Saccharomyces cerevisiae S288C: one gene and its partner. The gene in region 1 interacts genetically with each later gene. Each region holds a gene or a part of one and is shown on either strand. Other genes may lie near its edges. The genes, in order: RHO5 and TDP1.

Evidence for each region.
Region 2: mutations in RHO5 (region 1) and TDP1 are lethal when combined (synthetic lethality), as found in Saccharomyces cerevisiae (one study listed by BioGRID).

Annotation. Positions count from the first base shown.
Region 1 is NC_001146.8:299,057-302,489, forward strand, and holds RHO5 (Rho family GTPase RHO5), read right to left. Parts: upstream 1,594-3,433; coding exon 598-1,593; downstream 1-597. Other genes in the region: PBR1 (putative oxidoreductase), read left to right, coding at 1-502. UniProt on the Saccharomyces cerevisiae protein: Small GTPase that negatively regulates a MAP kinase branch, downstream of SLT2, of the PKC1-mediated signal transduction pathway.
Region 2 is NC_001134.8:667,884-672,324, reverse strand, and holds TDP1 (tyrosyl-DNA phosphodiesterase 1), read left to right. Parts: upstream 1-2,027; coding exon 2,028-3,662; downstream 3,663-4,441. Other genes in the region: YBR225W (uncharacterized protein), read right to left, coding at 1-1,698; PCS60 (Pcs60p), read left to right, coding at 3,974-4,441. UniProt on the Saccharomyces cerevisiae protein: DNA repair enzyme that can remove a variety of covalent adducts from DNA through hydrolysis of a 3'-phosphodiester bond, giving rise to DNA with a free 3' phosphate.

The DNA of each region.
Region 1 (3,433 bases):
GAGTATGATGGAATTGCAAAGAAGACTTACCGAAGACATAAAAAACCAAAAGACGAATGGCGCTGAAAGAACAGGAAAAAATGTTACCATTACTATGGTTCAACCTGGAACTATGAGATCAAATAGCCTACGCCGCGTCATTAGTAATGGTTCGGTGGTATTGTTAATAATACTTTACTGTATTCTGTTGTACCCCATATTGTGGCTGTTTACCAAGAGTGGTCGTCGTGGTGATCAAAGTTTCTTGTACGCTTTAATGACACCGGAATTGGAGGAAGTAAACTTAAAAGACACGAAGGTTAAGTATATCTCAGACTGTTCAATTGTGAAATTTGCTCGTAAAGAATTTGATGACGAGGAATTACAGAAGAAACTATTTGATAATACGGAAAGAGATATTTTACAATTGGAAAAGAAAGTCGCGGCAAAGAGAAATGCCAATAAGACCGGGAATCAAAATTCTAAAAAGAAGAGTCAGAACAAGAGTAGAAAAGATGATTAGAAATGAGAACGTAAATATATGTGTAGATTTCTTTTTTTCTTATTTATGATATCGGTATATGTAATTATTTATTTACTTTTTCTGCCTCCTTGATATTAAAGTATTACACACTTTGACTTCTTTTTCTTCTTGTCGTTTCTCGTCTTTGGTTTAGCTTGCTTGTTGTGATGATTATTTGAGGCAATTTTACTACCTTTGCTTTTTGATTGCTCGTGAATTTTGTCTTTTTGTCCCTTTTTTGTGGGTTTGATATTGAGAGCTTCCTTCTCCTGCTGTAAGCTTCCTTTCGGAAGAGTACTATCTGTACTATTATTATGGTGTGGTTGCTGTTTTTGTTCTCGAATATTTTTATCTCCATTGGTGTTGGTTGTTGCAGTCGTTAATTCATCAGTTAGAGTATGATTTGCTGATTTTTGGTTAGGGGATTCTGGTTCGTAGATAGCGTACCTCACCGCCTGTTCAAAGACTTCCCGGACACCTGCTTGGGTAGCAGCTGAACATTCGGTATAGCCCATAAACCCACATCTTTGTACGAGTTCATCTATTTCCTCTTGAGACACGTAATCGGAGTTTGCTTCCTGCAATTTTTTCTGAGTTGCCGGATCATCTCTTAGGTCACTTTTGGTGCCTACCAATAGAATTGGATACTTCCCTAATTTAGTATAAAGAGAGGTACCTTCAATATTGGAAGTCTGCTTCAGTTCAGGTAGCCATTTTTCTGTGACATTGGCAAAACTAGCATGTTCGCTTACTGAGAAACATATTAAAAAAATATCTGTTTGGGGATAACATAACGGTCTTAAACGATCGTAATCTTCCTGTCCTGCAGTGTCCCATAAATTGATTTTATATAGTTTTCTGTCCGTACTTGGTGAAGAACTGGCAGATGAAAGTGAACCTCTTTTATCATTACCATTGTCAAGCTCTAGGGGGCTACTCGCAGTTCCGTTCGGGATAGCTATCGTAGTAGAATAATTATCAAAAACCGTTGGAACATAGTCTGTTGGGAACGAATTGGTAGTATATGATATTAGAAGTGACGTTTTACCTACTGCACCATCACCAATTATCACACATTTAATAGACCTCATCAGACTTATTAGTATACTATATTGTATTTAATAAATATTTCGGCGTGTGCTTTGTGGGTGCCACCTGTCTTGTATTTCCTATCCAACTGAATATTCTGGATATTGTCTTGTGCAATAGACCGGAAAAAAAAAAGTGAATGTTCCAACGCTTTGGAATACAATGATGGGTCAAGGATCGTGCTTTTGTTCGTTGGTGGATCGGCCGTACGTGTTTAGTGAGGGTACTATTTAAACTTACTTTAAATAGCAAAATAGGAAAAGCTACGAGAAACTGAAAAGTAAAAAAAAAAAAAAAAAATAAAAAAAAAAGAAAAAAAAAGGAGAAACATGATTGCCAGTACTCGCAAGAACTAAGATAGAGAGAAAAAGGACGATATATCAAGAAATAAAAGGGAAGGTAATTCAAGTAAGCACTGCTTAGCTGTCTGCATAGGAGCCTTCTGCAATTACTCATCTCATCGTATTCGTCATAACCCGTTACGTAACTGATTTGACCAAGAAGCGTAATGAAAATTTTGAGCGGACGCCGAAACGTTGTTTTTTTTTTGCTTTAGTCCAGATAATAACCTTTTATAATTTTCTTTTTAGGGAGGAAGACCGGTCTAAGCTCTTAGAGGTTCTCGCATACCCAAGTAAAAGCTAAGACCGAAGCAAACACGCAGGATAATTTTCCGGTTTACTCTCACTGCAGCTTTAGTATAGATGCAGATCTGGTATTGAGAGAGGGGGGCCGGAACGAAAAGATTCAGGGGAGAGAAAGGCCCGGGCGTCGGGGAACAAAACCACTTTTGCACACCTTAATTTTTTAGCTACTCTGTTTCTCCGGGCTTGTATGGCACATAAATAAAATTCTGCTACTTTCCATTATCTGGTCATCACTTACCGATGTGGAGAGCCTTGCCCTTGAAAAATAAGATAAGACCTCCGATTAGGGTATTTGAAATTAACCGCTGTAGAATGAAATAAGGACGCTTGTTTGACATTTTTTAGTTGCTTTCTCTATCTACCACCATTTGCATCTTGATTTATGTCTTGTTTGAGGAGATTTCGGATAAATATTCTTCGAGGGGAAAATGTCGTAAAAATAAAAACAATAAAGAAACAAAACGATTAAAAGAAAAACTCAACCATCCTCAAAAGTCCTCCTCTTTTTTTTCACGTGCTGCGCTGATGTAAGCAGCAGGACATGGCAGGAAGAAAATCGGAGAATTGTGGCCGCGACACCTGACAAACAATCCTCAGGCAAATGTAAAATTGTACATGAAAGGCTGCGTAGTCAATGTCTTAGAAGGCCGGCCCGCATGATCCAGAAGCAGACCATAAAAAAAATAAAAATTCGCGGTCTGGCAGCAGGCATAAGATGCATAGCGTTATCCTAAATGACATCACGATGATAAATCCTCCGCCGCATGATGCTTTTGATTTGCCTAAGGGCCTGCCATCGTGCTGGCTCAAACTATTGAGGGTCAACATACCTTGAAAATCCAAGTAAAAGGATGGATATCGTTATACTAAAAGCAACACAGAAAAGGTCCACGTCAGTTCCACACAATAACATTTACGTAGTGTTCACGCGAAGCAGTTACATCTCAACTAACATAATTGCTGGTGAGCCTACAACACTGCATGCGTAAACGTCAACGGGATTACGTTAGTATTTTTGGCCGCCGGTAAATTCTCTTGTTTTTTTTTCTTGATTTCACTTCTTTTCATGTTCCTTTGGAATAATCTAATTCCTCATGATTAAATGAGACTGTTTTTTGTTTCCGTAACATCCATACCTTTCCTGTATAATATTCTTGCTGTAAAGTTTGTTTTTTTTATGAAAAAAACATTTTCT
Region 2 (4,441 bases), on another chromosome or scaffold:
AGAATGCTTTCTCTTGAAAAAGTTGACGAAACCAGATTTTTTAGTAGCCTTGGTAGGGCTCTTCTTCCTTTTGACAGCATCTGCTCCCGAGGACGGCAATGATAAAGATCTACTTGAAGCGAATTGGTCGTTTAGAGGGTCTTCCTCAACTCCCTGATTGAAGTTGTTTCTAGAAATACGTTCTTTTGCATCATCTGTAAAGAACTTTCTATTCATGCAATCATACATATACTCTGAAGCATTGGAAGAATTCAATTCGATAACTTCTTGTTCGTCAGAAACTATTTTCGCTCTTGAACCCTTTCGTGGCAAATAATTTTGTAAGTTTGTTAAATACTCAGGAGCAATTTCACTAGCATTCTTATTCTGAGCGTCATTGTCACTGCTGTCAATCATCCAGGGAGATAAATCTAATGCGAAATCTGCGATGTTCAAGCTTGGTTCATCATACGCCAGCTGCCAACCGCCCAGGGTTTTATGCAGCGGTCTTATTAATAAGATGTCAATTTCGTCTAATGGATCCGATATTACTGGCCTTGGAGAGTTTGCTTCTATATCTAACTGCTGAATATATAATGTAGGGTCACTGATCTTGTTGCTGGTGGTGCTGATTGTTGGATTAGAATGTTGTCTTGTGGTTGGTTTTCTTTTTATTAGTTCCTCCACTACTTCAGATGAAAAGAAGAATGAATTTGATTGCAGTAAAAATTTTTGAGATTGAGCCAACCATAATTGAATCAAGGATTCAATTTCAGAATAATCTTTTAACGGGTCAAACGATGGAAAGCATTTAACCTCAGTCTCTATATTTATGATGTTTTCAATGTTAAATGGATAACATTCAAATGCATATTTCCTAGATTCCAAATATTTTGTTAGGAAATCAATGTACGACCGTAATCTTTTCTTGGCAAATATTAAAGAGTCTTCTGGCGAGGAGTCCATGTTAAAAGATAGAAACAAGTCCATTCTATTAAAGAGCTCATTATGATTCGGGTCGTACATTATTTGTTTGAATTCACCGTCTATGCAAATGTTGATTAAATTATGATTTCCTGAAACGGTTTTGATTAGAAGAGAAGAATCTGATGCCGGTAAAGTGTTCCAGTCCCATTTTTTTCTAGAATGGAGTTTCTTGACAACGTTCGAAGTTGCACCGTGTAGACCACCACCTCCCCGGCCATTGCCGACCATATTGGATACAATGAATCGCGGTGCAGAAGGGTCTGGTGAGTAATTAGCTTTCACTTCGGAAGTCGGAGTTCCGCTTCTATGACTATGTTTATTATTACTTGTATGATGATGATGTAGACCTATTTTGGAAAGCTGAGCGGACTTCAGTTTGGATACTGAGGATGAGGCAGCGGAGTCAGATGATCGTCTTGACGAGTTTGAGAACAAGTCATCCGCCAGTCTAAAGTTTGGCAAATGTAAGGGCGAATCAAAGGACGAGAGCTTATCTGAATGATGGCTTACTTGTGGTGAGTGTGATTCTACTGAACTACTTGATTGCGTGGTTCCATTTCTACTCTCTTTTTCTTGTTTCCCCTTTTCTTTGTCAGCATTTTTATGTTCAGTAATCATTGAACTTGTATGGTTATCATGTGCTTTTAAGTTGGAAATTTTGTTACTGGTTATACTGGTTAACCCCCTATCATTCTTACTATCAATGTTTTTTGCTTCCTTATTGGAGCCCATTGTATTTACTTGAGCAGTTTATAAAAAGTGGATAAATGAGGGGAAAAATAATAAAAAAGAAAATTGAACAATCCTTCAATATGTGTCCTTTAATAATTACTACTACTTTACACACTTCTCCAGTAGCTGCTGCTTGTTTCAGGTGATGTGAACAACGTGTTTCAGCGTTCTTGGTAAGTGTTGGTATGGATCCCTTCTGATGTATTTTCGGCGGCCGCACTAAACTGCGAAAATGGTAATTTAATAAAGGGCTTATAAAGAGGAAAATAATGCAGAGAAACGGTGAGCCCAGACAAGAATGATGATAATGTGTTTTCAACCGATCATTAATGTCACGAGAAACAAATTTCAATGGAACTAAGAGGAAGAGGTCGGATGTTGCCGAGAAAGTAGCACAACGGTGGAAGAGCGTCAGGTATAGTGCTGAAATGGAGAATATGGCTCCGGTCAACAGTAACAATGATAGCGACGACTGCGTCATAGTCAGTGAATCGAAAATCATTGATTTGACTAATCAGGAACAAGATTTGAGTGAGAGAATAGAAACAAACGATACGGCAAAAGGTGCCGTTTTTAAACTAATGAAATCGGACTTCTATGAAAGAGAGGATTTTATGGGAGAAGTAGAGGATATGATTACATTGAAAGATATCTTTGGCACTGAGACACTAAAAAGAAGCATACTCTTCAGTTTCCAATACGAACTTGATTTCTTGTTGAGACAATTCCACCAGAACGTAGAGAACATAACCATCGTCGGCCAAAAGGGTACTATTATGCCTATCGAAGCCCGTGCTATGGACGCGACACTGGCAGTAATATTAAAAAAGGTCAAACTTATTGAAATAACGATGCCCCCATTCGCTTCCCACCATACGAAGCTGATCATAAACTTTTACGATAATGGCGAATGCAAAATATTCTTGCCATCTAACAATTTTACGTCAATGGAGACTAACCTGCCTCAACAGGTGTGTTGGTGCAGTCCCCTTTTGAAAATAGGTAAAGAAGGGCTACCAGTACCGTTTAAGAGAAGCTTGATAGAATACCTCAATTCGTACCACCTGAAAGACATTGACGAATTGATTACAAAAAGCGTAGAGGAAGTTAACTTTGCTCCTTTGAGCGAATTAGAATTTGTATATTCTACGCCCTCCAAATTTCAGTCGTCGGGTTTACTGTCGTTTTACAATAAACTAGAAAAACTTTCTGCTGGCACAAGTGCTAGTGATACTGCAAAACATTATCTATGTCAAACTTCATCCATAGGGACATCTCTATCAAGAGCGCGAGACGAAAACTTATGGACACATCTAATGATTCCTCTGTTTACCGGAATCATGTCCCCTCCAGCAAAGGACACCGCTGGGAGGAAGAAAGCAGAAATACTGCCAACGAATTCATTGATTAATGAATATTCGCAGAGAAAAATCAAGCCGTACATTATTTTCCCCACCGAACAAGAGTTTGTCACCAGTCCCTTAAAGTGGTCCAGTTCCGGGTGGTTTCATTTTCAATATCTTCAGAAAAAGAGCTACTACGAAATGCTGCGAAACAAGTTCAAAGTATTTTACAAGCAAGACCCTGCTATGGTTACTAGAAGACGAGGGACGACGCCCGCGCACTCTAAGTTTTACATGCATTGTGCAACAAACTCCGCAGGGCCCTGTGATGCATCGCAGGTATTTAAAGAACTAGAATGGTGCCTTTATACTTCGGCAAACCTCAGCCAAACAGCATGGGGCACCGTTTCAAGAAAACCACGCAATTATGAAGCAGGAGTGCTTTACCATAGTCGCAGGTTAGCAAATACCAGGAAGGTCACGTGCCGTACTTTTACACGTGACCGTAGAGGCTGCGCGGGTAATCCCACCCATGTGGCCGTGCCATTCACGCTGCCAGTCATACCATACGACTTAGCTGAGGACGAGTGCTTTTGCCTTGCTCGTCATGAGAACGACTAACAAGTAAGAGCGCGATGTTGCTGTCCACTTAGGCATCACTATATGGGGCCAGGAATGGCAAATTTACTTGATAAACTTCAGGCGATTGGATTTTGGTGCTCAGAATATTTTTTTCTCGGGCCGAAAGCGTCTTTAACTATTCCGAGCTAAAGCTTCCGAGTCCTTTATTCGGTCTTTTTTTATTTTTCAAGATTAACTGTATATAAATAGAGATGGTATGATTAAAAGCTCTTTTTAATAGATGCTCCTTCTTGAAATTTACTCCCACTGTGCTGCAAGAGGTTAGACGCTTCACGCACATTTTTGCTACAATGACAAGTGCCGCTACTGTTACTGCTTCGTTCAACGATACTTTTAGCGTATCCGATAATGTCGCCGTTATTGTTCCTGAAACGGACACTCAGGTGACCTACAGGGATCTATCCCACATGGTGGGTCACTTCCAGACCATGTTCACAAATCCTAATTCTCCATTGTACGGAGCTGTTTTCAGACAAGATACAGTGGCGATATCCATGCGTAATGGGCTGGAATTTATCGTCGCTTTCCTCGGTGCTACTATGGACGCTAAAATTGGCGCGCCCTTGAATCCCAATTATAAGGAAAAGGAGTTCAATTTTTATTTGAATGACCTGAAATCTAAGGCGATTTGCGTCCCAAAGGGTACCACAAAGTTACAGAGTTCTGAAATTCTAAAATCTGCCTCCACGTTTGGATGTTTTATCGTAGAGCTGGCCTTCGATGCGACCAGGTTTAGGGTAGAGTATGATATATACTCT